Linked DNA regions of Macaca fascicularis. The protein of the gene in region 3 interacts with the protein of the main gene of each other region in a pairwise test. Links are inferred from orthologs where the notes say so. Each region holds a gene or a part of one and is shown on either strand. Other genes may lie near its edges.

The links.
Region 1: the proteins of ATXN1 (region 3) and PIAS1 interact in binary tests that used the Homo sapiens proteins (3 or more experiments, as listed by UniProt). The link is inferred for Macaca fascicularis from reciprocal best matches to the Homo sapiens genes ATXN1 and PIAS1.
Region 2: the proteins of ATXN1 (region 3) and VSNL1 interact in binary tests that used the Homo sapiens proteins (3 or more experiments, as listed by UniProt). The link is inferred for Macaca fascicularis from reciprocal best matches to the Homo sapiens genes ATXN1 and VSNL1.
Region 4: the proteins of ATXN1 (region 3) and RCN1 interact in binary tests that used the Homo sapiens proteins (3 or more experiments, as listed by UniProt). The link is inferred for Macaca fascicularis from reciprocal best matches to the Homo sapiens genes ATXN1 and RCN1.
Region 5: the proteins of ATXN1 (region 3) and eukaryotic translation initiation factor 1A, Y-chromosomal interact in binary tests that used the Homo sapiens proteins (3 or more experiments, as listed by UniProt). The link is inferred for Macaca fascicularis from reciprocal best matches to the Homo sapiens genes ATXN1 and EIF1AY.
Region 6: the proteins of ATXN1 (region 3) and VSTM2L interact in binary tests that used the Homo sapiens proteins (3 or more experiments, as listed by UniProt). The link is inferred for Macaca fascicularis from reciprocal best matches to the Homo sapiens genes ATXN1 and VSTM2L.
Region 7: the proteins of ATXN1 (region 3) and RAPGEF4 interact in binary tests that used the Homo sapiens proteins (3 or more experiments, as listed by UniProt). The link is inferred for Macaca fascicularis from reciprocal best matches to the Homo sapiens genes ATXN1 and RAPGEF4.

What each region holds. Positions count from the first base shown.
Region 1 is NC_088381.1:44,795,698-44,800,123, reverse strand, and holds the start of PIAS1 (E3 SUMO-protein ligase PIAS1), read right to left. Parts: upstream 2,955-4,426; 5' UTR 2,943-2,954; coding exon 2,919-2,942; exon of another isoform or gene 2,031-2,918; coding exon of another isoform or gene 2,025-2,030; intron 1-2,024. UniProt on the Homo sapiens protein: Functions as an E3-type small ubiquitin-like modifier (SUMO) ligase, stabilizing the interaction between UBE2I and the substrate, and as a SUMO-tethering factor. Catalyzes sumoylation of various proteins, such as CEBPB, MRE11, MTA1, PTK2 and PML.
Region 2 is NC_088387.1:104,615,115-104,619,011, forward strand, and holds part of VSNL1 (visinin-like protein 1), read right to left. Parts: intron 1,137-3,897; coding exon 921-1,136; intron 1-920.
Region 3 is NC_088378.1:156,606,730-156,610,626, reverse strand, and holds part of ATXN1 (ataxin 1), read right to left. Parts: intron 3,870-3,897; coding exon 3,339-3,869; 3' UTR 1-3,338. UniProt on the Homo sapiens protein: Chromatin-binding factor that repress Notch signaling in the absence of Notch intracellular domain by acting as a CBF1 corepressor. Binds to the HEY promoter and might assist, along with NCOR2, RBPJ-mediated repression. Binds RNA in vitro.
Region 4 is NC_088388.1:33,483,670-33,488,316, forward strand, and holds the start of RCN1 (reticulocalbin-1), read right to left. Parts: upstream 2,897-4,647; 5' UTR 2,831-2,896; coding exon 2,577-2,830; intron 1-2,576. UniProt on the Homo sapiens protein: May regulate calcium-dependent activities in the endoplasmic reticulum lumen or post-ER compartment.
Region 5 is NC_132903.1:7,975,370-7,979,266, reverse strand, and holds part of eukaryotic translation initiation factor 1A, Y-chromosomal, read right to left. Parts: intron 3,504-3,897; coding exon 3,400-3,503; intron 1,693-3,399; coding exon 1,642-1,692; intron 1-1,641. UniProt on the Homo sapiens protein: Component of the 43S pre-initiation complex (43S PIC), which binds to the mRNA cap-proximal region, scans mRNA 5'-untranslated region, and locates the initiation codon. This protein enhances formation of the cap-proximal complex.
Region 6 is NC_088384.1:94,018,878-94,023,250, reverse strand, and holds the start of VSTM2L (V-set and transmembrane domain-containing protein 2-like protein), read right to left. Parts: upstream 3,085-4,373; 5' UTR 2,862-3,084; coding exon 2,741-2,861; intron 1-2,740.
Region 7 is NC_088386.1:68,273,982-68,278,595, reverse strand, and holds the start of RAPGEF4 (rap guanine nucleotide exchange factor 4), read right to left. Parts: upstream 2,982-4,614; 5' UTR 2,824-2,981; coding exon 2,759-2,823; intron 2,681-2,758; coding exon of another isoform or gene 2,410-2,680; exon of another isoform or gene 2,384-2,409; intron 1-2,383. Other genes in the region: uncharacterized protein, read left to right, coding at 2,410-2,680, 3,344-3,509, 4,389-4,517.

The DNA.
Region 1 (4,426 bases), on a different chromosome or scaffold from region 3:
TGAAAAATTAAGCCTTTCATAAACAAATGTGCATAGAGAATTCATTTTGATATGTATGATTCACAATCTAATTTTTATTGGCAATATCTTGAAGTGTTGCAGCTTGCGCAATTCCTACAGGGGATAAAGATCTATCCGTTTTTCCCATCTGATCTTTGCAGATTTCTTATAGATTTAAAAGGACTCACTAAAAAAGCCATGAGGAAAATAATTATGAATACACAGCAAAATGAAGTATGGGGCTGAAACCTAAGATAATGAAAAGTCACTGAATGTTATGCAAAGCTTCACAGTTGAAGTACTCTATTCCCATTTAAAATTTCAAAAAAACTAGATTTTCTTCTTCTTACTGATTTTTCGTATATTAGGAATGCATATTTACCTCCAAAAAATCACAAACAAAAAGCCTTCCGAAAATATCATTTCCAAAAGGAGTATCTGCCAAACCTTACTGCACAGAAAATTATATATACACATTCTTTTTTAACACATTCTCAAATAACTATGGTAGGCGTTCCTGAGATCACCTCCTCCACCCCCCAAAAAAAGAACAGCAAATCTAACCACAATAAAGTATTAACCAAATTTTTTTAATGCAGTTATCACCAGCTAAGCAATTTATCACACAGCTCCTCAAAGTCTCAGACACACACAATGACATACCAACATGTCAAAACAGTTATTATAATTTGAAAAATTATACAACAGGAACATAAAAGTAGAAAAAAAAAACTTCCTCTGGAAAAACTCAAGTAGATTTGGGAGAGAGCAAAAAACGAGACTAATTTTAGAAAAATAACATTTCTTCAAGTGTTTGGTGTTTATCTGATACTGGTTCACTTTCGTAAAGAGAAACTTTACCTAACAAGACTCACACCAGGGATCTGATCCATCCCCAAAGGCACTTTCTTAAAATGAGAAAGAACAAAGAAGGAAATCTCTCAGCATGTGCTTTCCATACTAGTTTCTTTGGACAGCATCAAGAGTGACAATATAGTCTGCACAAGCTTTTCGGCTTTATTCTATGGTCCATGTATAACAACTGATTAGCTATCATTCAAAAGAACTCCTAACAAAATAAATACTAGAAGGCAAAGATCACAGCAACATGATGACTCTATCATAAGAGAAAAATCATAGAAAACATGTCTTAAAGTTGTGTGCTTTTTTTTTATTTCAAGGGTTAACTATCTCCAAATATTCAAATTCCTAAGGCTTTCTCATTTCAGTCAATAGTTTGAAACTGGAGAAAACCCAAAACCATCCATTCTAAATCTGCTCTCCCTTAAATAAAGTTGTAATTATAAGTACATTTTAAAAGAATGACACTCAAAGCCAATACTTTAATACCTAAATCTTGGAGTGTAAACATTGTGAAGTTATTAGGAGAAAAGATCTTTCGGTGAGGATATTCCACAGGAAAAACTCTACAGAATCAAATCTGGCATTTGGTTGTTCCAGAAGTTGTCGTTTCATTATAACGGAGAAAAAAATTAAATAATTTGTATTAATTATAAAAAGAAGACTCTCTCCAAAGATTTACAATTGTATATCCCAATCTCCACTCTGACAGAGATGTCAGTTCTCTGGGTCGAGACATAACCAGCTGCTGGGTTCACACACACAGGAAGCCACAGAGAAGATCGCGTTCAGAGCCTCGAAATAATACGCGTTAGTTAAGAACTGCCTGCTACTAAACCAAAATTATTCAAACGGAGCCCCATTTGTCACAATCCAATCATAAGGGTTCCACCCCCCCTCCCCCAACTGCTTGTGTAGTGGTATATCTGCTTCGGTAAAGAAGCCATCATCAGGTAAAGATTGGGGTGGGAGAAAAGCGGGGAAAAGGGGGCACCCTTTCATCTAATTTCGTGAGGCGTGAGTAATTGGTACAGTTAAGAGGAACGTTCTATTTATCGGGGGTTAGAGTAGCATGAGGGGAGAATTTCGTTCAAATCAACATGGCCAGCAAGATGTCCCTACAAACAAAAGGCAATGGGGGGATATAAACACGAACCATTCACCTCCATCAGCTACAGCATCGCCATCATGGTGTGTGCAGAGACCCCCAAAGGCTCCTCTCACCCTCCACACCAGCCAAGGCAAGAGAAGGGAGAGAGGTAGCTACATCCCCCTCTCCCAACACTGCTTCCAAACACACACTCTTCGAGGGGGTTTCTCCCCTCGGCTGCCCGGAATCAGAGAGAGAGTAACGTCCCGCCCAGGCTGACTCTCCCCCGCTACCTCTCAGCCGAACCCCAATGCCGGCCCGGGGCTCGCTAAACTTTACCAGAGCTTCTCCCCCAGATCCCCACCCTATCGCCCCGGGATCGCGCTTCCCTCAAGCGGGGCACCCCAGGCGCTTCCTGAAAGCGAGCAGCCGGGGAGAGCCGAGTCCGGGGCGGGGGCGACAGGGATCCACGGAGGGGCGGGGCGGCCGGAGCCAAGTTCCCGGGGGTCTGAGAAGAGCGCCTGACAGGAGCCCGGGACTGCAAAGGAGGAAGAGGAAGCGGCCACGGGGAGCTTTCCCAATCCCCCCTACAAGAGCACCCTGCCCCCAGCCCCAGCTCCCCATGGGGGGCGGGGAGGCTAACTAGAAGGTGAAAAAGCCGAGCCCAGGAGACAGCTGCAGCCCCTACCTCCCGACTCCCTATCTCTTCCCCCGCCACCCCCGCCAGAGGCGCCCACAACAATAACACGCCGGGGACGACCCGTCAGCGCCCCCGAGGCACCCGGGGCCCGCGGCCCGCCGCAGGCGGGCCCCCTCTGCTGAGACCGGGCGCGCCTCTCTCCCTACAACTCCAGGCCCGGGTGGAGTCAGGCCCGAGCGGCCCCCCAGGGTCGGACCCATCCCCCCAGGCACCAGAGGCGCCGTCTCCGCGGCCGAATATTAGAAGTGAATTCGAGCTGCGCTTTACCTTTAGTTCCGCACTGTCCGCCATCTTGCGTCTGTCAGCGCAAGCGCAGTGAACCTCGCCGGGGGCCGCCGCTAGACCCGCCCCTCTAGCCGGCCTGGCCCCGCCCCGGCCCGCCCCTCCACCTTCCCAGCCCGCCTCTGGCCTCCGCCCCGCTTAGGGCGCTCGAAGCCCCGCCCCGGACACGTACAACTGCGAGACAGGCACGTTCTATTTAAATAATGGCGCCAAGCGGCGAGGTTTGACAGTTACTACCCCCTCGGCTTCCCAGCACCCCCATCCTCGCTCGGCCAGCGCCTCCCGGGAAGGGCAGGGGCGAGAGGGATGCTGGCCTGAGCCCCATCTCTCCGCGGTCCGTGGAACGCTTCTGCATAGCTTCGACGCCTACGGTCACAGAAACAATGCTGTCCTCCAACCCCTAATAAGCAAGGCTTTTTCAGCACCTGCTACTTGCGAGGCTACCAGTGGGCTAAAAATAGAAATCCGTTACATTTAAGGGGCCCTTAATGAAGCATTTGTAGCATTATTGGCTCAGATCCTCCTCTTGATAACGCGGTGAGGTAGGCAAGGAAGAGATAATTCCCAGGGTATAGATTCAGAAATGAAAGCTCAGAAAGGAAATGTGACTTGCACAAACAAGAATTTTTGCGAGGTGGCGTAAGACAAAATTTTGAAGGTGTTCATTAACATTTTTGTTTAAAAAAAATGTATTTAGTGACTATCTGTTGGCTTTGTGCTAACGGCTAAATATACATTGGGGAATCAAAGTCCCTGCCCTTCTGTAGTTCTCTAATGGGGAATCAGACAAGTGAACGAACAAAGATACAATTTCAAATGTTATTTTTTGAGTACCAGAAGGGAGCAAACGGTCCATTGAGAAAGAAGAAGGGTTTGGGAGATGTACTTAATTCTGGGAGAGTTTTATCCACTAAATTGACATTTAAGTAGACTTGATGGAAGGATTATTTCATTCTTTTTTGTCTCTACTAAAAGCCTTCTGGGCCGGGCGCGGTGGCTCAAGCCTGTAATCCCAGCACTTTGGGAGGCCAAGACGGGCGGATCACGAGGTCAGGAGATCGAGACCATCCTTGCTAACACGGTGACACCCCGTCTCTACTAAAAAATACAAAAAACTAGCCGGGCGAGGTGGCGGGCGTCTGTAGTCCCAGCTACTCGGGAGGCTGAGGCAGGAGAATGGTGTAAACCCGGGAGGTGGAGCTTGCAGCGAGCTGAGATCCGGCCACTGCACTCCAGCCTGGGAGACAGAGCGAGAGACTCCGTCTCAAAAAAAAAAAAAAAAAAAAAAAAAAAAGCCTTCTATATACCTCCTCCCCAACCCCCACTTTTTACTAATCAACTTTGTCTCATACCTCATGGAAAAAATGAAGGATATCAAATAAACTCCCTTCTCACCATCAAAACTACCCTTATCTGCATAGAACATCTGGGTTACTATGAATAAAGTGTCCCTGCGCCTAGGAAGGCCAGTACCTTTACCAGTGACCTGGATT
Region 2 (3,897 bases), on a different chromosome or scaffold from region 3:
AAGTGGTAAATTTCTCTCCTTGGTCAGAGTGGCTGGTGCAGGGGTGGGAATCCATGCTAAGACAGTCAATCAAAGGAAAGCTACTGAATCATGCATCTGCTCTTGCATGCCTGCCAGGCTCCAGGCTGGGTCTGGGTGCTGGGCATGCAGCCGTGAGGGCAGAGCCTCCTCACAGAGCTTGCATTCTGCCGTATATTCCACTGAACAAGGTAATCTGGGGCAGGGACAAACGTTGGGACAAAACCCCTCTTGGTAAGGGTTAGATTGCTTTGGTGTGGAGGTGGAGTGGGCATATTTGGGAAGGGATGTGGGAAGGAAGGCCTCTGTGGGAGGTGGGATAGGACCGGAGATGGAAGTGAAGTGAGGGAGGAGCCCCCAAAGGCCAGGGGAGGACATGCTGGGCAGAGAGAGAGGAAAACCAAGAAGACCTTCACATTGGGAGTGCAGTATGCAGGGGCTGGCGTGGCAGAGGAATCCTGGGTTACTCACAAACACAATGGGCAAAGCCTGCTTGCTGTGGAATGATCAGAACCTGGAAGGATGTCCCGGGAGCCCCTGACAGCCTCGGAACCCCACTAGGTGCAGCTGGAGTGAGGCAGAGCAGAGATATGCCAAACACAAGAGAAGCTGAGCCCATGACATCCTTTGTGCCCAGTAAGACAGGTTCACAGGAGATCCGGTAGTGAGTGAATGGCAGATGACAATGCCACTGTCATGACAGTACGGGCCCCAAGGCTTGGTTCTGGGACCTCCCCAGCACTGTGCTGCAGTGGGAACAGAAGCGGGAGAAGTCCAGGCGTGGTGTGCAGCTGGCAGGGCTCAAGCAGAGAGAGAAGGAACCACGAAGGCCCTGCACCTAGGAGGCTGCCGTGGGGTCTCCTTCTGTGCCCACCACCCGCCAACCACGCCCCAGGCCTCACCTCGATGATCTCCAGCATCTCCACTCGGGTGATCTTGCCATCACCATCCAGGTCATACATATTGAAGGCCCAGTTCAGCTTCTGCTCAAAGCTGCCCCTGGAGGTGATGGACAGAGCGCAGATGAACTCTCGGAAGTCGATGGTGCCATCGCCATTCTTGTCGAAGGTTCGGAAGGCATGCTGGGCAAACTTGGAGGCGTCTCCATAAGGGAAGAACTGCAAAGGAGAACACATGCAGTCAGGTGTTGGGAGGGGACGGAATTGGGGCGACGAGGTAGGTTCCTAATGACAGCACCACAGGTGCTCCAGGGCGTTGTTAGAGCCTCACCCATTGGAGAGCGGTTTGGCCTGACTGTCAAGGGCAGGCATTAGGGGAGGCTTTCTCACAGCAGGTACTCAGGTATAGGCACCTCATTGTTTCCTGTGGGTGAGGTTGGTGACATGTGGCTTTCAGTCGATGGGGCTTGGAGTTGGTCAACAAGCACCACCTGACGCTAGTGTTGCAGCATCTCTGCTCACTGCCCCCAGGAACAAGACTGAGGCAGACAGCAGTTTCTCTCCCCACACAGGCGGTGCTACACGAACTTCCATGTTCCTTTAGATATGAGAATCCAGCTTCATTGCTGCCCAGTAGGGCCAGAGGGAGGGTGCCTGGACCTAGTTTCTCCTGCCACCAGCCCTCGTCTTGGGCCCACACTTATCCCCTCCCTGGGTGAGGTTCCAGTTTCTGACTTCTTTTTGCAGGGATTTTTCTTTTGCAGAACAGACATTTAAAACCCATTAAAAATAGAACATGACTGGGCTTATTTTCGAGAGACATAAAGAGGTTTCTTCACAGAGCCAACTGTCACCAGGGGTGTGTGGGAGGCAGAGAATGGACACAAGGAGGAAAGGGAAGCAGAGACCACAAGGAGGGAAGGCCATAGGGAATCAGTAGGTGGTGGCCTCAGTTCCCTTGGACATAAGCCTAGGCCAGTCACAAACAGCAGGTAGTACTGATAATTAACAAGGAAGAACTGCAAAGCCCCAAATACAACCAAAAACAAACCGTGTGCTATTTTAAAGCAGAGAAGTTATGTATGTGTTTCTGGATGAAAAACTCTGGGTTCTGGGCTCTACAGACAAGCACTACAAGGTCAATAGAAGATTACTGAGGATGCTCATTGATATCCCTATTCCTTCATAAGTTTTGCCACCTGCTAAGTGGACCAGGTGAGCAGCCTTCATACAGATGGCCTCTTAGCCCACTCTGGGCTATCCGCCTCAAGGAGCCCTTGGTCCATCTTTCTCACTGTGCATCCCACCCTGGGTCCTGCAGAGCCCTGCTGCCCACTCCTCCTGCACCTAGAAGCACATTGGAAGGTAGAAAATTTCCCTCCAGACATAAGACATACTTTAACAGAGAAGGATTCTATACATGGGGCCCACGGAACAGCCAAGCATCCCAGGAGGAAGAAAGTACCCATTGCTTATATTTCGGTAGTACCCACTGCTAGGCAAAATGACCTGTTCCAGAGACTGTTACTCTGTAACAAATCACCCCAAAAGCTAGTGGCTTAAAATGACAACAATCATTTTATTATCTCACAAAATAAACATTTGAGACCCATTTCTTTTTTTCATCAAACATATCTTTTCCTGGTTACAAAGGACAATGTTCTCTTAGGTTCCCTCATCCCCTAAACATATCTTTCATTTCTGTTATCCTTCATTTTTCATTATTCATCAAAATTCACTGAGTTCTTTTTCATGTCGGGCCCCGTCTTGGGTACTATGGTCTCAGAGGGCAGTACCTCAAGGTCTCTGTGTTCCGAGACTGCACAGTTAATGGGGGCACTTTACTCAAAACTGACTTGGTCATGTTACTTGATAAGAACTAGAACAGAGGAGAAGGCAAAGTATTACTAAAGCTCAGAAAATGAGTGTTCATTTCAAGGAGGGAGTTGTAGAGGGAAGGGCTTTCCTTCTTTGAACAGCTCAGCATGACCCCAGCCCCTCACCCCCAGTGCTACTTAGGTGCTTGGTACCTGAGGACAGGCTGCCAGGTGCTGAGTTTTGAACTAAACAATGTTGAACCTGAAAACTTCCAAATAGGCAAGTTTGCTCCTCCTGTGCCTTATGCATGAGTGGTCCTGGTCCCTTTCTAGAGGGTGCCATTTGCTGATGTGTTCATCTGCCTCGCGATTAGGGGCCTGGGTGGAGCTGGCACCTGTGAATCTGACTTGGAGTGGAGCAGAGCGAGCCCCTGGGCAGGATCCCAAGTCCCCTTAGTGCTGTTTACCCGCCAGCATTTCTATGTGCAGTTGGCATGAGACCAGTGGGCACGAAACCTCCATTCATGTAGGTTGCTGGCAATGTAATGCTTTAACTATCTTATGTCTCACAGCCTACTTTAAAGTTAAGGGATATTTCACAGTTTTATCTAAAAATAGCCGGGCATCTTAGGTCAGTATATTAAAAATTAATTTAGGTCTAAAAAACCTTGAGAGAAAAATCAATGGTAAATTTTGAGCTATAAAAGTTACATATGCCTTGCAGAAGGTCTGTATACTGACTTTTACAGCCAACATGTTTACTTTAGAACTGTGTACTCAAGAGCCCTCAAATTTCTGGAGGGGTTATTTCCTTTAGGAAATCTATCCTATCATGTTCTGAGTGCTTTGAGTTTTTCTAACTAGGAAAATGCTCCTTATTTTGACAAAATAATTCAACTCTAGATGGATCCTCACAGAGAAACGAAGCCGCATTCTCTTCAATTTCTGTAGGAAGAAGTCAGGGTCTTGAACTCAGATTTACTTTTCTCGGAGGACAACAGGGCCTGAAAAGCACAGTATTTTTCTTTTTTTGCATACTCTTGCTCAATTTCTTTTTAACTCAATGTATTTTGCTTGAACTCTAGTATTAAATTTTGACATGGAAGTAATATTTGATGGCAGTAATAATCTATAAATAATATGATAGATACAAAGAACTTTGA
Region 3 (3,897 bases):
CCACAAGGGAGTGGTGACCGTGGGTGGCAGGTGGTCCCCTCCACAGCCACTGGCCAGCACGCTCAGAACGCACACACACAACAGGCCACACTTCCCGTCCAGGCTCAGAGGCGGGGGCTCCAAGTCTCAAGGACACAGACCCCAAGGAGGGGCCTGCCCACTCGCAGAAAAGACCGTGGAAAATGGGTTAACTCCAGGCTACATGGCTCCAGAGTGCGTCTTAGAAATGAATCTGCCTCCTTCCTCTCCACACTCCACATTCACTATTCCGTGTGGTGACAGGGGACACTGCGGCTCCTCCCCCAGGTCTCCTTGGCTGGCTCTTTCTGCAACGTGGCGGCAGACGCGGGGCTCCTGAAGGCTCCCCGCCCCAGCACTCAGCATCCGCAGCCGGGGAAAGGTGGGAAGCTCTCTCCCTCCTGGCTCCTTCCCTCCAGCCCTGCTCTGGCCAGAATGGGAAAGACCAACCAAATAAGGAAAAAGCCAAAAAGGAATGAGCTTTAACTATATAGCACACTGGTCAGACTCTATTGGCACAGAAAGTATTGCACATGCTAAAAAAGCAAGAGAATGAAATGGGACAAGTGTTTAGAAAGAACCAATTATTTTATAATTCCTATACCTGAAATAGAACCACAAAAATTATGATGATGTTCCTATTGCTCCAAACCACGTGTGTTTTCCCATCTTAGTGTTGGTTTAGTGGATCCAGTCAGTTCAATACTCGAAGTAAGCCAAAAGGTGGTGTGTGTTTTTCTGAGTCCACATGAGTTGTAAATAGTGATACTAATGAGAACAAAGTCTATGTGGCAGCCCGTATTCCTCTTACCATCAAAGGTTAAAAAACAAAAAGAAAAAACAAAACCTAATAATTGCAAGTGCCCTGAGCAGAATATATGGAAGATTAAGCAAGTTCTCTGAACAGAAACGTTTAAAAAATACAGCACTAAATAAGCAGTATGACTGCAAGAATGAACCCACCCAGCTCTCTGCAAGCATGCTGAGAGGGTAATGAAATTCGAGGAAAGTCAAGAAACTATTCTAGCTATTCTAAACCTATTCAAATGTTTTTGGTACACCCCAGAAAATGGTTTACAAAAATCATTAGTCCTGGTGAGCCTTAAATGTAAATGAATACTAGACAGCCAAAATGTGGGTTGATACCAGATTTTTTTTTTTTTAATTTGTGAAATGAAGGAAGTACTATTTTCAATGGGGTAAAAGAAAAATCAGGTATTTGTTTAGGTTAGTTGCAGCCATCCAAGTAAGAATATTTAAAAATTTCTCCCTACTTATAAAACTGTTTTTTTAAAGCACTTTAAAGATGCATTCAAAACCCACAAATGATATTTCAGATCTCTGGGAATGAAAGGTTTAAAAACTATGAAATACCCTTTCTGGGTTTGTACCAAACATTAAATCTTGATTTGATTTTGAATAGAAAAAAAAAAAGTCATTCTGAAAATAACATTAATAACAACAATAATAAAATAATTGTTTAAAACAAAATCTTGCTCACATATATAAATGTCTTTATGGAAAACTCTCTCAATGAATCTGAAGAAAATTCTCAGAGTTTCTAAGAGCCTGCTAAGACCTGGCTTTTTGTGACAGATGTGGTAAAAAGACCAAAATGAATTTTCAAAGGAACATAACCTTATAAAATGGCCTAGAGTTTAGGCAGGTTAGAAAGAAATTTTGCTACATTTATTTATGCTCGTTCAGTCCCCCAAACCTTTCCCACAATGTTATTGGATAAAAACTGCAGGAATATCACACAAATTATAAACTCAATATGTGCAAATCGCAAGGTTCTTTAAAAGTTCATCTTAAAAAGAAAAACACTGGACAAAAATGAGTATTCTCTTCTCCATCCCTTTTCTCTCAGTTTCTCTGCCAACTCTGCATATGCCTTGAACTGATTCTCAGACATCAAAGTGAAAAGTGCCTCCCGTCAGGTAGTACTTGGTGGTCATTTATTGTCACATACTAGTTCATAATTCACATTCATCCCTTTAAACCACATTGAAACTTTCAATATCTTGCTCTTCAGCAATTCTGCAGAGCTGAAATGTAGTTACAGTGTTGAAAAAAAGAAAGCAACTTAGTTTTTTTTGTTTTTTTGTTTTTTGTTTTTCCCCAAAGAGTTTAAAGTGAGATACAGTACTTGTTGAATGAGAGACCAAGATGCTTGGTAATAAAGTGTGAACAGTATTTTTAAATGCTTAAAGATAGTAATATATGCTCATCTTCAAAATCTAATTCCTCATGTCACACTGGAATCTGAAAAAAAAAAAAAGTGGCACCCGAGTTGTCCATAGTCATGAACTATAAACAGTACTAGAGTTCAAAGACAAAAAGATTTTGCAAACTCAACGTGAAGAGCTTCTGTGGCTCTCACTGAAGGGCAGTTTGCATCTACCTCTTGGGAGTGAAGTCAATGCAATAACCTGATTGGTTTACCTAACACTGCACAGAAACCAGCGTGGGTGTTCGCTCTCTCCCCCGCCCCCACCCCCAACCCCCCTTACCCCATGTGGGGCCATGACAGCAGGGGCTTCCCTGTCCACCACAACACCCCGGTGACATCGCTGCACTAGTAAAAAGCAGAAATGAAATCCCGCATGTGGCAGTTGCTCTTTAAAAAAAAAAATATATCAGTGCAGTCAGGCCCCATAGGGGGAAATATATATCTATACAATTAAAAGTTGCTTTTATTGTAAAACAGGTTGGAGAGAAAAATGTTCTTTTAAATGGTTAACTTTCCAAATCTGCCGTCTGACGCGCCTCCGCGATGCCCTGAAGCTGGGTTCCTGATGTTGATTTTGCACATGGGAACCCCAGGAGGACACTGCTCTGAACACCCCGTCCCATGCCGATAGCAAGAGAGTGAGGCAGAGGGAGGCAGAGAAAAAGAGACCCTCACTCGCCGCCACAGCACCTGTGCACCCCCACATGCATGCACCCCTGCACCCCTGCAGGACCCTTCCCACGGGACTTTTCTCCTGACACTAGCGGGAGTCAGCGCCCCTGGCTGCTTCTGGGCCGCTACAGAAAGCAGGCGCTGTGGAGCCCGGTTCCTTTCTTCCCCGGGGATGCGTGGAGCCCTGACCGCTCCTGCTGTGCCCTTCCTCCCGCCCGCTCACTGACAGACACTCGTGGAAAAAGCATATGCACCAGTCTCCTGCGACACACCTGCTGTAACTCTAATGACAAGGTTAGAACAGAAACCTAAAATAAGAGGATAACATGTAAATACTGTGTTATTTAGCCTACAGTACAGTAATCTGGATACAAATGATAAGGGAGAGCCACGTTTCCTTTCCCCCACGCTGCCTCTACTTGCCTACATTAGACCGGCCTTCAATGCAAATCTTAACCTCCTGAGGAATTAGAGAAGGCTTAGGAAGAGTCAAAGGTGGTTCGTCTTCTGACTTCTCCAGTTTGCGGCTCTCCGGCGCCGACCACCTCCTCTTCCTCGTGGCCGCGGGCTTGCTGGGTTCTATTTTGGTGAGGAAGGGCGCTGCAGGCAATCCCATTTTCTCTGGAAACTTCAGTTCGCCATTCTCAGAGAGCATCTGGGCACTCCCCTGGTTGATTCCGTTTTCCTGCTCGGCATACCTGTGTCTGCTGCCCGCCAGGCCGTCGGCCTTTGAGTGCTTCAGCAGGACGCTGGCGGGATCCACGGGCTGGCCCTTTTTAACAGAGCCGTTCTTCAGGTTCTTGAGGGTAAGCGAGATGCACACATCCCCAACTGAGAGTTTGGAACACGGCAAATCAAAGAGCTGGCTGGTTCTCTCCGGACAGCAGGATGACCAGCCCTGTCCAAACACAAAAAAAGGATACTCTACCAAAACTTCAACGCTGACCTGTGGAAACAGGGAGAGACAGAGAGAG
Region 4 (4,647 bases), on a different chromosome or scaffold from region 3:
TTAACCTACAAGCGAATGGTGCATCCATCACCCATCTGGTGGCTCAGGCCAGAGACCCAGATGTCCCCTTGATTCCTACCTCCCTCCTCTCCCCCTTGCTGAGTCAAGAGCAAGAGCTGCCAGTTCTACCTCCCACTGGTGTATAGATACATCGCCTCCTGGAATCCGGAGAGACCAAGCCCCTTTGGCATTTACCCCCTCTCCCCTGCCACTGGTCTAGTCTATACCTCGATTATGTTCTTTGCGTACTGCCTCCTGCCAGCCTGACTTTCCCAGTGAATTTTGGGGATTATGACATTTTGACAACGTACAGGATAACATATCTCCATCTCACCAAGGTCCTTCCTGCTCTGTCCTTGGTTTCCCCTCCATTCCCACCTCTCATTTCCCTTCCCTGCCGCTTTGCAGACTCACCACCCCTCAGGCCCCAGAACACTTTTCAAACCCTTTAGAAATGGGCTGTTTTCTCTTCAGGAAGGCCTTCCCCTGCTGTACACCTGGCAACCTCCAAGTCATCCTACAAACTGATCAGGTGACAGCCCTAATCCCCTCTCTCTAACCTGCAGCCCTGGTGGCTCCTTCTCCTGGATGTGCTCACCATAGGTTTTATAGGCCATCATTGCAGCAATTGTGCATAATGGCTAGTTTGTGCTTCTCTCCTCCACATTTGCTTATAAGCACTTTGATGCCTAGAGCATAAGGTTTCATCTTTGTATCTTCCAGTTGTCTAAACTGGGGCCTGGTACACAGTAGCCATTCAAATGTTTGTTGCATGAATAAATGAATGAAGTCAAGGTGTTGATACAAGGATCAAATCCAGACCAACCCCACCGTCACTTGTTCTCACTACTAGGCTGAACTGTCATGATGAAGGCATTAACTGGAAGCTGTAGGACCACACCTTATAAAGTTTTCCAAATCCCAAAACCTCTCCCTGCCTCCTCTCCAGTGACAATGTGGCTACCACTCAGGGCTCCAGAATAAATCAGTCTCCAAGTGCCTCAAAGCAATACAATTGACTGAACTCATCAATGGCCCCCATTGTTAAGTCCTAACCGAGAAGAGAAAGTACTGTGCAAGATAAAAGGTAATTGTTTGGAGGTGACTTTGAAGTTCAAAGGTCTTGTTATCAGAGCAGGCAGATGGTGCACCTACACAATAGGTATAATTTATCCTCATATTCCAATGAAACACTTTGGCCTTTGGAGGGCCCCAGCACAGGGATGGCTGTGTTCTCTTTCATGTGGCAGAACGTGAAGATCCTCCACCCCCAGGAATCAGGTTCAGGGAGATCTGAGACCTGGTGCCCAGTGGACAGGACTGCTGGTTTCTTCCCCAGCCCTGCCTCCATCTGGGACCAGGCTGCCTGCTGGGTCCTCTGAGCAAGGACCAGCAGATATCTCCACACAATGCCCAAGTGTCTCCTCAGGGGGACCCGGGGAGGGTGTACTGAAATGTGCCAAAGTTTTGTTTCCCGGGTTTGGTTCCTGACTCAACTGCCTTTAACAGCCCGAGTGAAAATCCTCCACCACCAAGAGCACCCTCCAGCTTTTTGCCCCCAACAAATCAGTTGCCAAAGAACTGAGTGCTTATGCAGACATCTGCTGCCAACAGAAACGTTTCAGGCCACCCGTTTCCATTCCTGCTCCTTCGTGTTTCCAATCGGAAACTGCGTGTCCCCGGATTTTTGTATCCCTACACTAGATTTTATTTTATTTTATTTTTTATTTTTTTTGAGATGGAGTCTCACTCTAGCCTTGGCTGGAGTGCAGTGGCGCAATCTCGGTTCACTGCTACCTCCACCTCCCGGGTTCAAGCGATTCTCCTGCCTCAGCCTCCCAAGTAGCTGGGATTACAGGCGTGTGCCACGACGCCCGGCTAATTTTTGTATTTTTAGTAGAGACGGGGTTTCCCTATGTTGGTCAGGCTGGTCTCGAACCCCTGACCTCAGGTGATCCCTCCGCCTCGGCCTCTCAAAGTGCTGGGATTACAGGAGTGAGCCACCGCGCCCAGCCTCCTTACGATAGATTTACAGGGCGATTAGGCAAAAGGCAAGACCACCTGGCCGAGACTAGGAAGCAAGCCTGTCACTCGCCTGCCCCTTCATCTTTTATCCATTCATGTTCATCCCTGAGACCTTCTTAACGAGTGTCTCAAGCCCTTCTCGCCGGAAGTGGGGGATCAGAGAGAAACTGCGAGAGGGTAGGGAGGAACTCATGTCACTAACAGGCCACTGTGGACAAACTCTTCTTTTGTGCACTCTCTCCCTTCCCTTCTGATGCAACCCGGGGGAGGGGGCGGGCCCTCGCCGTCCTGGCTACCGCGGCCGCTGCCACGTTCTCGCCTCCCCGCGAGAAACCACCCAGGCCGGGGCGCGGCGGCGATCTCCACGCTGGGGTCCCGGGGCCCTCCGGCAACTCAGCCTGAGCCCCGGCGCCGAGTCGGGCAGGCCCCCGCCCTCGGGGCCGCGCGCGCGATTTCGCTTTCGCTTTGGCGGTGGTATCCCGCGTGGCTCCCGCCCAGACGGCCCCTGGACACCTGCGCCGCCCCCCGGGGGGACCTGGCCGCGGCCTCACCCCAGCCTCTCCTTGCTCTCGTCCGGGGTGAGCTGGTCGAAGGTCTTGGAGTCCTCCTTGCCCAGGAAGGCCTCGTGGTCGTACTGGAAGCTCTGGTTGTCCTCAGGGGGCCGCTCGCCCAGCTCCGAATCGGGCCGCACCACGCGCTCCTTGCGCACCGTGGGCTTGGCCCGCAGAACCCGCGGCGCCAGCACCAGCGCCAGCAGCAGTCCCAAGGCGAACCCCAGGCGGCGGCCACGGCCACCGCGCGCCATCGTCCGGAGGAGAGGGCGGCCGGGAGGGAGGCGCTGAGCAAGCGACAACAGCGGCAGCTCGGGAATGGGGGCTTGGAGCGCGGCGACGGCGGCGGGGCTGGGGCCGGGGCCGGCGCGGAGGAGGGGACGGCCCAGTCCCTCCGCCAGTGCCCGCCCTGAGCCGGAGCAGAGAGGCGCGTCGGGGCCTCGGGCTGGGAAGCTGCGGGCGGTCCCGCTCACGCGCCCATTGGTCGCTGCGCTGCCGGGGGAGGCCGGGGCCGCGGAGCCACGTCGCCAGCTGGGGTGGTGGGCGCGGGGCTAATGTTTCGCCTCGGCCCCTCCCCGCGATCTCGTTGCTAGGGGCGGGCCCGGGCGAACTGGGCTGGGGACTGGAGAGCTCGGAGGAGGACTGGGAAGAACTTCTTTGTCAAGCAACAGATGTTCAGGATAAAATTCCCTCTGACTTCCTACAGTTCCGGAAAACTGTAAGGAAGGAGGCACTGCCCCTCCTCGACTTCCAACTGACCCCTAGACCCTGCTCTAAAATGTGCTCTGAAACCCAGTTTAACCCCATTTAGCAAAATTTGGAGTCTGGTTACAAACGCGAGCCTGGAAGGAGACCAAGACGGCTAAGTCCCCTGGAAACGAGGGTCCCACTGTCAGTCGTCAAGGAGGGTCAAGCGGGAAACTTCTATATGACCGAGAGTCCCTCTAAAGGGAGCAGTACCGTGCGTTCCAGCTGCCAGGGGAACGCAGGCCCCACGCTGGTAGATAGTCCTGTTTCCCAAATGAAATCAGGATTTTAGATTTTTATGTTTTATTTCTAAATGTTGGCAACTCATTTTACAAAAGCACTAGTTGGATCCAATCTTACCTGTATTCAGGTGGTAATGCTACCAATACAGATATCTGTCCCATCAGACTCTCTGCAGTGATGGAAGTGTACTCTATCTGGTCTGTCCTGTAGGTCGTGGCTGTTGAGCACTTGATGTGTAGCTTAGTGTAAGTAAGGCACTGAAATTTTAATTTAAATCTAAACTTAAATTGCCACACCGGACTAATGGCTACCCTTTGGACAGTGCAGGTCTCCAGCAGTCTCAGCCTTTTGAAACTCATTGAAAGCCATGATCCTCTTCCAGAAAAATGCACATACAGCTACTGACACCGGTGCTTGATTAAAGAGTCGGAGGATTCATGGATCTTTTGAAGCCCCACCTATGAGCCCCAGGTTAAGAATCCCTAGAAGGCTGGGCGCGGTGGTGTCTCATGCCTGTAATTCCAGCACTTTGGAAGGCGGAGCCAGGTAGACCACCTGAGGTCAGGAGTTCGAGACCAGCCTGGCCAATATGGTGAAACCCTGTCTCTACTAAAAATACAAAAATTAGCCGGCCGAGGTGGCAGGCGCCTGCAATCCCAGCTACTCGGAGGCTGGCGCAGGAGAATCGCTTGAACCTGGGAGTGGAAGGTTGCAGTGAGCCGAGATTATGCCGTTGCACTCCAACCTGGGAAACAAGAGAGAAACTCCGTCTCCAAAAAAAAAAAAAAAAAAAGAAAAGAAAAAGAAACCCTAGAAAACTGAAACCATAGTTGAACCATGACAGCTAGATAGCTGTACTCCCAGAAATTTCCTCCATCTTGCCCTGCCTCCCACCTCCATCCCTGATGTTTTCAAAAAGATCTGGGATGTGCTTCTTGCCCTTGCAATAAAGATGTCGTTGCAGCATAGATGCAAGTCCCTTTCTTGTGACGCCCTCTTTCAGTCAATTAATGAATCATTACTCTCTTCCTACTCCAGCCTAAGCACTGGACTGGGTGCTGAGGATACAATGGGGAACAAG
Region 5 (3,897 bases), on a different chromosome or scaffold from region 3:
GATCCTGCACAGCAAGAAATGAAGACTAAGGAAGAGGTGTCAGTTGACTGACATTGGCTGAATGTTGAAAGTATTCCTCTAAATGTACAATATTCCTCTTTAAATGATTAAAATCTTGCTCATTTTAATGAAATCTTAATTGAAACATGAACTGCCCACTAAACTAACCAACTATTCAATGGCCAAAGAATTAGTTCAGAAAAGTCACCAAACAAGCAGTACCAACAACAACGCTGAGAGGTAGGAATCTGATTTCTAGAACTGCTATGTTGTAGTTAAAATGTTCAGCTTAAAAAAAAACAAAGAGAGACGTAAAAAAGTGACTCAAACACAGGGGGAAAAAAAAATACTATTCCTGAGGAATCCCAGAAGTTGGACTTGGTTTATCTGAGAGATTATAAACATATTTAAAGACTTAAAAAGAAATCCTGTCTAAAAATGTTAAGAAAATTATGAAAATGGTATTTCACTAAACAGAAAGTCAATAAAGACACTGAAGTCATGCAAAAAGTAGAAATTCTCAAGATGAAAAGTAGAGTAACTTCAATATGCCACTTACAGTAATGAAAAGAATCAGACAAAAGATCAACAGAAGACTTGAACATTATAAACCAACTACATTTAACAGATGACTACAGAAAACTTTACCTAATATTAAGAGAATAAAAATATAGACATAGGAGTACTTTTTCAATGTGGTTAAGCAATGGTGATGAGTTCCATGGATAGAAATCAAATGTATTTTACAGACCTATAGCATGTAAACAGTTTCAACACTGCAGATTAAACAGTTACCCCACCACTGTCTTTGTTATACACTGCTCACTTTAAATTTATAGCCTGTACTTTACAACAGTTTGTACCGTAACTACTTGGTACGCATATCTTAACTTTACACTACCAAACTATAAAACTTTTAAAGGAGAACCAACTTACTCAACTGCATCAACTAGACTTGTGGTTTCCCAGATGTGGATTTCAAGAACTTTAAATTTCAAAATATTAATATTAAAAATAATTTTAGGTAAATGAGTCTCCAGATTACTAAATTTTCCTTTGCCAAATTAGAACACTAATAAAAATTACTACCTTATATATTATCTTTCTCATTTAAAAAAAGGTTATTAAAATATATATTTAAAAAGTAAACAAACAATTGTGTTCCATGAAGAACATCCTAACTATGTTATCTTCTAATGTGACTTCAGAGCATTGAAATTTCAGCCTGCACCAATACTATTTCACAGACTGGCATTTGGGAACTACAATGTCTGAAATACCTCGCTGAATGCCTGAAACACCATTGGCCTTTAAATGGATTAGGACAGAATGTTCTACAGTACTTGCCCAAGCCTGCAAGAAAATATTTACTGCACATTAGCAATGAAAACAAAGAATTAAAAAATTTATGTCTTTCCACAAAAATACATATACCCTTAACTATCTGTGAGAATTATTTCAAATTTGAAAAATACTATAGTCTTAAACACAACTGGCCCTAAACAAATGATGATGGCAGGCAGAATGGTGAGAAATCATCCTGGGCTGGAACGGGTCAAAGATGCTAGTATATAGTACCTTCCAAACATTAACAACTGCTTAAATACAAAGTCACAACACAAATTTAAATGTTATTTTTACCTGATAGTCTCGTAGACCAACCAATATAATGTCTGAAGTATTTATCCAAACCTGTAAGACATTTACTGCAGATTATTTTAAAAATAAAAACTTTCATTAAATTTTTAATTTAATAAAAATCAAAAGAAAAAAATGTTTAGTGAATCTAAACATTTTTACTAAATGTACAAAACAGGTATACTATTCACCTAGTGTGAAAAAATAATAAATTAATTAGATGCCAGGAGAGGTGTCTCATGCCTATATCAGCACTCTGGGAGGCTAAGCCAGGAGGATTACTTCAGTGCAGGAGCTTGAGAACAACCTAGGCAATGTAGAGAGGCCTAGACAACACAGTGAGACCTTACCTCAAAGATTAAAAATAAATTAGGAAAAAAACACTGTAATATGTATCTGTAGTATAGTTGTATGCAGTACATAGTTAAGGTACGGCATGAAAAAACTACGGTATCCAGTTGAGTTTGTTAAAATTTTCTTACTTAGAAAGTTAAAAAAATATATAACAATTTTATCTCAATTACTCAAGAGTTTAAACTGCCAAAAGATCCTTTGTCTCAGAAATTGAGAGACATGCAATTGTCCAAAATACAGATATGTCTACATAAAATGACTAAAAAGCGCCCAATCTACATAAATACAGCCCCGTTCTTGTCTTAATGTTTGTGTTCCTCAAAAGATTTATGGTGAAATTTGAATCCCCAAGGTGATGGTACTAGGAGGTTGGACCTTTGCGAGGTGATTACATGATGGGGGCTAATCACTCAATAATGGAATCTTTGGTTTTAAAAAAGAGGTCCAAGGCAGCTTGTTCATCACTTCTACCATGTGTGGACTAAGCCAGAAGGCACCACATAATAATCAGGAAATGGGTCCTCACCAAATGTTAAATAGATTTCTCTTTCTCCAAAACTATGAGAAATAAAATTTCTGTTTTTTATAATCTACCCAGTCAATGAGCAGCCCAAATGGACTAAGAGAACCCCTAAAAGTGCCACTAATTTGGAAAAGAAAGAATGTTAACATATCAAAAAGATTTTTTATTTTTATTGCTTTCTGAGATAGAGATTCGCTCTATCACCCAGGCTGGAGTGCATTAGCACAATTTTTAGCTTATGGGAACCTTGAACTCCTGGGCTGGGCTCAAGCAATCATCCTGCCTTAGCCTCCTGAGCAGCTGGGACTACAAGTGTATGCTGGCTACTACTTCCACAGAGCTCAGCCAAAAAAAAAGTTATTATTATTTTAATTAAAAATCTGAGTAGTAGAGACTTTTAATCAGTGTAAGTTATAAAACTACCTGATGTGGTATTATAACAAATAGATTGTCTAACATATTCCATATTCCAATTTTCATAGTACCACCTAAAACTATTTCCCCCAATCCAAAACCTAATGAAGGGATATGCACCGATTAATCTCTTTTAATCTAAAGTAAAAAGGAAGATTTTTCATTCTTTCACAGCATTAACATTTAATTGAGTCAAGACCATTTGTGTTATATATTAGATTTGTCTGGTTTCTTCAATACTAAGGTAGACATTTCTGGCAGGAATACAACAGAAGTTAAACAAAGAAATTATTCTTTAAAAGTAAATCTAAAAGTTATCAAAGACTTTTTCTTTATTCACATTGTCACATGGATCATTGTTACATAAATTATTTTGGGAACTCACAAAAATAAATTGCTTGGACCATGTATTTAAAGCAGAGACTTTTTTTTACAGCAAACTTTTATGGAAAAGAAACCCACACACCTACCTTTTTTCTCAATTTCCCTCTGATATGGCATAACCTCTTTACACCATCAAAACACAGTGCTTCCAATCGTCCATTTCCCAACATTTTGATTACCTGAGCATACTCTGAGGAGAGGAGATTAAAAAAAGGTTGAGATCTTGTTCAACATTTGTTAAAATGTAATGACTAAAATTTAGCTATTGGGCCAGGTATGGTGGCTCATGGCCGAAATCCCAGCAATTTGGGAGGCCAAGGCAGGTGAATCACCCAAGGTCAGCAGTTCAAGACCAGCCTGGCCAGCATGGTGAAACCTTGTCTCTACTAAAGATAGAAAAATTAGCTGGGTGTGGTGCCAGATGCCTGTAATCCCAGCTACTCAGGAGGCTGAGGCAGGAGAATGGCTTGAACTCAGGAGGCAGAGGTTGCAGGGAGCTGAGAAAACACCACTGCACACCAGCCTGGGTGTCAAGATCAAAACTCAACAACAAAATAAATTTACCTGCCAATAAAAGCTTCATT
Region 6 (4,373 bases), on a different chromosome or scaffold from region 3:
TAGGCTCTCCCTGTGACAAGCTCCAGGGCAGGCAGGTGGAAAGCAGGAGCCCGGCGGCCAGGTTGGGCTCAGATGGAGCTGGAGGGGTGAGCAGCCACCAAGCACTTGGGGTCAATGTGCCCCTCCCCAGGAGTCCCTGCTTCCAGCCCCCACCCCCCACCCCCAGACATAGAGACACCTTCCCGACTGGGCCACATTTCCTGAATCAGCTGAGGACACACGGAGCCCAGGAATAATGAAACGATCAGGCTCCAATCTGCTAAACAGCAATTTCTGAGCTTTTTCAGCACACACAGCTTTTATCAAATTGGTATTCTCCTCCTGAACACAAATGGCTTATTAGACATGACCCACTTATTCGCCGCGTCTCACTATCATTAATAACAGTTTCTTTTTGTGATTAAGTGAGTGGTTCCAAACCCTTCCTGTGGTGGCGGGTGCTTGGCCCGGCAGAGGGGCAGCTGTGGGGGCTCCTTGGCAGTCACTACTTGGTGACTTTGAACCTAGCAATGTCGGGGGAAGGCAGCCTGGCCCCTGCAGAGCAGCCTGGCCTCCTTGTTTCTTTAGGGACACAGGGAGACCCAGAGGGGTGGCTCAGTTGCCCAGAGCCACACGAGGGGTTCAGGAGAGAAGCCAGTTTCCCCAGCAACTAGGGGTGCCTCCTTCTCATCTAGCCCCTGCCCTGGGCCTTAGCTTGACCCTCCAGGGTGCAGAGGGGAGATTACAGCTGGTTGGGCAGAGCTGTGCCCCCTCAGCTTACCTGGCACCAGGGGGCAGGTAAAGACTGTCACACAAAGGGCAGACAGACCCTGCTTCTCCATGGGGGGAGACACTTTGGGGCCTCAGGAATGACAGAGTGGCACCCAAGTCCCTGGGGTCTGGTGCTCTAGGGACAGAACGACCATAAGCCTCAGAGTCCCATTCCTTGTACCCCTTGGGACTGCAAACTCAGGGAAGCCCTTCCATGAAAACCCCTCCTACTGAAAGTTCCAACTGTGCCAAGGAACTGAACAGAGCGAGGAGAGGAGGGGTGGAGAGGGAGGAATTCCGTTTCCCTAGAATGGGAGGGAATCTGACAAGGAGATGAATGTCCTGGAAAAAAAGCGCTGTCTTGGCCCGACAGACCCTGGGGCCTGTCCTGGCTCAGTCACTCTCTTACTGTGTGACCTTGGGCAACTTCCTTCATCTCTCTGAGCCTTGGTGTCCCTATCTGTAAGTTGAGGATCAAAAGAACCCTTTCCTTATTTACCACCGCTCTAGCCAGGTCAGTAGAAATCAGGTGAGGGGTACGAAGGGTACATAAATGATGCACACAGCGGTTACTACCAAACATGGTGAGGCAGAAGGGGGTGGGGAGTCATGGTTCCCCAAAAGCAGAGACCCTGAGGATGGCTTTGAAGCCCCCCTCTCCACTGGAGAAATCCCACTCATGTGTCACACCCCAGCAAAGCCTTCCCTGATTATCTACCCCCCCACACCCCTCACTCACTCCCATCAGAATAAATCATCCAATTATCTGGCCTTTGTGCAAACCTCCCCGCAGCCCTGGGCCCACAGTGCCCAGCACTGGGGCTGCAGCCTCCCCCACAGGGCTGGGAGTCTGTCTAGTGAAGGGCTGCATGGAAGAAAGGTCTCCTTTGGTTTCATATATGCTCAAGCTCCCATCCCAGAGCCAGGCTCACAGGGGCCAGGGGGAGCCCCCACAGCTGCCAGGCTCATACAGTCCAACTCTGCTGCCAACTTGGGCTCCTTTGGGGCTAGCAGGAGCTTCTGACAGTCAGCCAGCCAGTGCAGGGAATGCTTGTCTGCTCCACGGCTCCCACAGCGGCTGGAGTTGTGACTTCCCACATTTCAGTCCTCTAGGGCCGAGGATGAGGATGGGGGGACCCTATGGAAGGATGGCAGCGGCTTCCTGCCCACCCCCAGAGGCAGACAAAAGCACCCGGCATTCCACGTCCACTCCCACTCCCACTCCCATGCCTCTGGCTGCAAGCAGCAACCTCAACTACTCCGGTGGCTCTGAGGGGCTTCCACCAGGTGCCACCCGCCCAACAGGGAGGCTGTGGCCTCAGGTGACAGTTCTCAAGAAACAGGGTCTTCTGCTCCCAAGGACCTTTCCAGTGGTATAAGGGGAGGGTGCGGAGAGGGAGAGGACAAGGGCCTCTGTGCAGTTAAACCCACGAAGAGTAAAGGCAGATGAGCGGGGAGGAGTGGGCGAGCAAATTGTGTTCATGTGTGTATGTGTGTGTCTGTGTGGGTGCGCGCGCGCACCAGTGTGTCTGCAGGTGGGCAGGCAAGAGTTGTGGCGAAGCGTGTGCGCCAGCTGGCAGAGTGAGTCCACCGGCGCAGTGCCCGATGTGCGTGCGTAGTGGGCATAAGTGTAAGGGCTTGCAGTGAGGAGGGGGACCTGAGGTGTGTGGAGATGTGCAGGGTAGGAGTTGTGAGTGTGAGAAAGCAGCGACTGTGGGTCTGAGTGTGTCCGCGGCTGTGCATATCGGTGTGGCCATAGAGGTGTGCGTATCCGCGCGAGTGTGGGGGGAGGAGGTTCGGGGGTGCGCCCCGGGTGCCCCCTCCTCCACAGGGTCGGGGTGCCAGGGCGGGTCCACTGCGCCGGCAGGGGGCGCCCCGGGATTCCCGCCACGACTGCCGCCAGTTCGAGCCCCGGGGCGGCCAAGTTGGAGTGGCGCGGCCCGGGGTGGGGTTTGGTAGGGACGCCCGCGGTGGCGGCGACCGAACTCACCGTGGCCGGAGACGTGGTTGTCCCAGGGCGCGTGGCCGGCGGGCCGCGTGGCGCCGCCGAGTTGCAGGAAAAGTGCCAGGTAGTGGAGGGCGCCCAGCGCTACGGCGAGCGGGGCCCCCATGGTGCGCGCTCGGGCCGGGGGCGCCGCCGCCTCACATCGGGGCCCCGGAGACCGCAGACCCCGCACCCGCCGTCCCCTGACCTGCGCGGCCTGGCTGCCCGGCTCCGGCAGCTGCCCCTCGCCCGCTGTCCCCGGCCCGGCCGGGCTCCCAGCCCTCGCCTGGCTCCGGCCCAGCCCCGGCTGCGGGGAGCGAGCGCACGCCCAGCCGTCCGCCTCTGACTGCGGGACTCTTCCCTTCCGCGGAAGGCCACGCCGCGCTGCCGCGGCACCCTCCTCCCTCCTCCCGCCTCCCTCCTCCGCTCCCTCCTCCCCTCCCTCCTCCCGCCCGGAGCAGGCGGCGGAGGGATCTACCGCTTGATTTATCATCAAAGTTTTGCCCAGGCTGGGATTTTTAAAGCGGTACCGGCAACTTTCCCCCGCCCGAGTGCGGGGGCGGGGCCGGGATGGGGCGGAGAGAGCCACCCCAGGGACTGGGTTCCCGCAGTTCCAGCAAAGCACGACCCAACGGGCTTCAGCCACAGAAATACCGTCCAGCAGGGAGAGGGAGAAAAGCCAGGGCACCCGCTGCCAGGCCAGCGCGCTCAGAGGCTCCTAACTTTACCGGCAGGGCGGGGCCTGGGTCTGGGGGTGAGGGCGAGGTAGGGTGGGAGCCTGGGCTGAGACACAGGGAACCTGGTGATAGCTCTGCCGCCGACCTCGGCTCGCTGTGTGATCGCGTCCAGGTGTCTACCCCTCTCTGAACCTCGAAGTCTTCATCTGAGAAATGGGGGTAATAGCTGTCTGCGGGGGTCCTGGTGAGGATTTGCGAAATCGTGCATGCAAAGCGCCTAGCATAATGCCGCTCACGTGGCAGGAGCTCAGTGGTTATTACTGTCGGTGTTCCCCTCTCTGGGACTCAGTTTTCCAGTCTTTGTAATGGGAGAGAGGCAGGCCAGTTGTTGCGGCTCCTGGCTCTTGAAGATACTGGACCTTATGTGGTGGATGGGATCGCCCCCTTCTGGACTGTAGGCTCCTTCCCTAGACCAATGAGCCTCGATGGTGTGTGTGTGCGTGTGTGCGCGCGCTTGTGCGCGCGCGTGTGCGTGGGTGTATGTGTGTGTGAGTGTGGCAGGGGAGGGGGTAGGGCACCATTCCCAAGAGCAGGAATCCAACAAGGTCCTCCAATTCCTTCCCAAACCGTGTTACTGGGGCTGATGGGACAGACCCTCGGTACAGACAGGAGGGCGGACCTGTGGTCCCATTTAAAAGATAAGAAAGCACCTGAAATCAGGTAATTAGCTTCTCTGAGGTCCCACGGCGAGCCGGGCGGGGCCCCTGACTCCCGAGCGGGGTCCCTCCTGCTCTCATCCCTTGCCCTTCCCCAGGCCTCGCTGCTCACACAGCCTGGTCCTCCCAGTTTCAGCACCATGGAGGAGGACAGCGCCGGTCCCCAGGTCCCATCCTTTGGGCACCGTGGACAGCGTTTCAACTGACCTTTTGATGCTGGGGTTCACACCGTGAACAGACCCTCAG
Region 7 (4,614 bases), on a different chromosome or scaffold from region 3:
ACCATCCACAACAGTTGTCACTTGAATGAGGCATATATTTGAACTACGTTTCCCAGTTACATCCTTTTCCCAGTTAAAAGGTCCCAGTATCATATTCCCAAGTGAACCCACAGGGGTTCATTGTACTATTCTTTCTTTTTTGTGCAGGGTTGACAATGTCCATTATAAAAAAGTTTTTATAAAAATAGAGCATACATTCCTATATTCTAGATTTGGTCACAACAGGAATTTGTAGTTGGGAAGAAATTAGCATATTCATATGCCACACCACTGCCTGGCATGCCCTTCCTATTCTCTGCCTGGTAAAATTTCTCTCAGCCTCTGAGATCTACGCAGGACACCTATGGAAGCATCTCGATAACTCACTCATCTGCATTCCCCAAGCACTTTATACATCTCCATTAAAGCACTTACCACTGCATTGTGGTTAGCTGTTTATACAGCCGTCCCACCACCAATCTCCCCTACCCTCCAAGCCTATAAGCAACTCTCATATTTTGTTGCATCCCCAGTGCCCAGCACAGTGCCTGGAAAAGAGTATCAAGATAGCATTTCTCAGAAACGTTCAGGGCACTGTCTCCACTAAACAGGGCTTTCAGGGGGCTTCCCTAGACAACTTCCATAAACACTCTCAATTTTTCTCCTTTCCTAAAAAATAAATAAATAAATAAACAATCTAAGAGAAAAACACACCTTCAAAACAAGGCCCCCACAGCCTTCATACAATGAGATTGCTGCCCTAAACTGTTCCTCACAGGTATCAATTCTGGCATGAACACTGCAGAACATGCAAAGTTCTCTTAATACCACAAAATAAAAAGCCTACATGGCACCTCACAGTTTTCAAAGTATTTCACCTTTTTTTCTTCTTCCATTTGTCCACTTATCCCTGATAGTCCTATCCTCATTTTTCAGACACTCAAGGAAGTAAAAGTGACATGTCCAATAACAGAACTGGTAACAGCTGTGTTCCTAAAACCCTTAACTTATTGATCTGTCCACTCATCTGACTCTTCTGATGCTAGACTCAGTATCTGTGAAGGGTTTTTTTTTTTTCCTAGTTTTTTTTTTCCATTATGAATGGTGGCATTATGTGAGGGCATCATGCTCTAAAAAATCCATTTCAAGCAAAATCATTTGGGCAGATACACATTATGAAAAGAGAGAGTCGACTATGTCCCACTTGTGTTAGTATTGCTCTATGATTTTGCCATAAGTACTTCTTATTGACTAATGGGTTTCCAGTGAATTAACGACTGTTCAAAAAATGCCATGCCATGCATTTATACACATAGAAATATGTCATCTATTATCTAAACATTCCATTCATAAGGAAGCACCACTATTTATAGGTTAAGTGCAAGATCTTGAATCCCATACAATTCCTTTTTCCTGAACTATTAAATTTAGATACTTGACACATTAACAACCTCTATCCTTCAAACGCTCTTAGTTCTACATAATCCTGTATGATTTAACCATTACTTTAATTCTCTTACTATTTATTGCATGCAACTATTTCTAATATTAGTACATATCATTTTAGACATAAATAGGGCACTGCCTGCCAAAAAATCTTGCTACTGTATGGTAATTGAAAGTCAAGACTATCAGATATATTAAGTTATTCAAATGAGCTACATTTAGCTTTTCTCAAATTACTTAATATTTTTCAACAAAGGCCTATAATAGAGTATGCAAAGCATGTCACACTTAAGATTTTCAAGTTTGATCGTGTTACGAATCTGTTAATTGAAAATTTTTCAATATGGCAGAACACAAAATATTTCACACAAATGCAAATAGAGATGTCATGCAGATAGCTGCAAGACGTGAATCATTGCCCTTCTGCATTAAACTCCGAAATTCAGAGGCAGTTCACTCTGCAAGATTTCTTGCTCAGTTCTTAAAAGTTCAGATGCATCACCTTTTAATCAGGGTAATAAGCTATAATTGCTAACATACTGTGTAATGTTTACTGCTAAACCTGCAATCTGGACAAACAGAATATTATGCTGTCAGAGCCTGGAAACAACTGCAATCCACTGTTAACATACACATCCTCCTTAGAGAGAGCTGTCGTCGGGAGTTATATGCTTTATGTACGGTTTTAATTTTTTTTTTTTTTTTTTTTTTTTTTTTTTTTTTTTTTTAGCGTAAAGGTCTTTTCCCGAGAAGCAGGTATTAAGACGAAAGCAGCCTCCCAAATGACCTTCTCTAACACAGACCTTGAGCGAGCGACTGCGGGGGCAGAAAGCTGTGAATTTCAGCAAGGGACTCGACAGCTCCACTGGGTCCCTCACACTTTGATTTCGAGAACAAAAAAAAGAATGTTACTCTGTACCTGCCGGTGCCCCCACCCCTCCTTAAAACTTAATACCCCGCAAGGTCTGAATAGCCAGAGAGGGTATGCATCGATTCTTCCGTCCCGTGATGCCAAGAGAAAATAAACCCCCACCCAGGAGCGGAGCCTGGAGTCGCGGCGGGGCGGGGGGTTGGAGAGGTGGGTGCTCTCTCCCCTTACTGCGCTGCATTTTCTCCACCACGTGTAATAATCTCATGCCACTGGTACCCCACGAGAGGCGGGGGTCCTTGTCCTCCTGTCTCCCGGGCGAGGACCTCAACCCCTTCCCCCGCTCGGGGACCCCGGCCACCCGCAGCCCGGCCGCGCTGCGCCCAGGTGTGAGGCTGCGGCGGTCTCTGGGCCCGGGCAGCGCCGCAGAGCTCGGCCCCCAGCTGCGGCCCCCGGCCGAGCTACCTTTTATCCAGGCAGGCGATCCACTCGGCGGAGGAGGAAGAATGGGCAGCGTGCGCAGCGACCATGTTGAGCGGCGGCGCGCGGTGTCCCCGGCTGCTGCGACCTCCCGCGCTCGAGCTGCCTGCGCCTCCGCCCCCGCCTCGCCCGCCGCGCGGACCCCGCTCCTCCCGGCCGCCTGGCGACCAGCGCGGCTGCGACGGGCCCGCCCTCCCCGCGGGCTCCCGCGGCCTGGGGCGGGGGGGCGAGGGAGGCGACCTGGGGGGCGGGACGCGGGCGCGGGGAGGGCCAAGCCGCCCGCCCGCCGCTGCGCTGCGGCGCCCGGGGGTGGGGATTTCACCCCGGGGTGGGGACCCCGCGGTCCCGCCCGCTGGGGGGCACTGGGGCTAGCGACCCTAGTGGCTGGCCACCTGCGACAGGTGGCCGCTGCGTCCCTCGGAGACTGGGGCCCCACCCTCATCCCGGGGCCTCTGAGGCGGGGCGGGAGGGCAGGCGCCGCAGCGCGAGTGGGGAGGGGGATGCCAGTGTCTATATATTTTTTATACAGCAAATGCCACTAAAATGGCTGCTGCCTCTCTGTTTCCTTAGAAACCGATGAGTCTTCCTCAGCAGCTGCCGAAACTTGCGGCGGTTGCTTGCTCACCTTTGCTGCCTCCCCTTCAGAAAGGGCTGGAGGGGAGGGCGAGGAAGGCTTGGCGTGGGGCCGCCCGTCGAGTCTCTCAGTGAGGAATGAGAGGCCAGCTTCTCCCGCGGGGTGAGGAAGGGCTGGGCGCAATGGGGGGCAGTGCGGGCAGGGCTGGGGGCAGGGAGGGAGGGGGCTGGTGGGCCCGATGCGGACTAAGGGGGTGACAGGCTGAAGTCACTGGCCTTGAACCCTGGGCTTTCCTGGGCTTCCATCACCTGCATGGTGAAGAAAACACAGTTGAGAATGGTGAGTAGCCGGGCCACAGCAGAACTGAGGTTTTAGGATGCGGGCTGAGACCCCAGAGCGCTCAGGTGAACTTGGATGGCTGGCCCCACTTGCTGTTCTTCCTCTGGCTGGAGTGTTGAATGGGTGGTGATAACGGCCTGTCTCTTGTAGATGTTCACACAAATGTCATGTCTACAAGTTGTTCAGTTACACTCTGCCAAGAACCAAATTACATGCCAATGGTCGTTTAGGAATTTGGGGACAAGTTAAATCTTTTGGACTATTACCAAGCATTGTTTTGATATTTATGGCACTGCATTTGGGGGCCAGACAATGGGAGAAAGGGACATAGCATTGCTTTCTTGTACTGTTCCCCCTCCCCCCGCCCCCACCTCCCATCCAACCCTGCTAAGGGGAGAGTCAAGGGGACTGGAGAGAAGGAAAGAGCAAGTGCTCTCTGGGATGCTTTGATTCTAATAAAACAATTATTACCATGATAGAAAAGCCTCCAAAGATGTGCCATTTCCCTCTGCTCGATAGCCAGGATCTGGTTTCAGACCTGCCACAGTGTTCCCGCAGCAACTCTTCCCTCCCTGCTCAGGGCTTTTCCCCCAGTTAACCTTCATTCTGTTAATTTCTATCATGTTTATGGTAATATTTAAAATACTATACTATATAAAGGTTAACCAAAGGTATTTATGTTGCAGCTTTTTTACTATACAGGTATGAAGGAGGAACTGTATCTCCTATATATATTAAGTTTCATTTATTAAAACATCAGAGAGCACCTGAGAATGTTTCAAGGTCACCAAAAGCTTTCCGAAAATGGCTTTCTGCAAAGAAGATTTCCAAGTAAGGAGCTAGAGGAGAAAGGAGCTGCACATCACGTATTATCACACAGGCTTGGAGTTGCCATAGCTTTGGTTATGATACTAATAATAGTTACCAT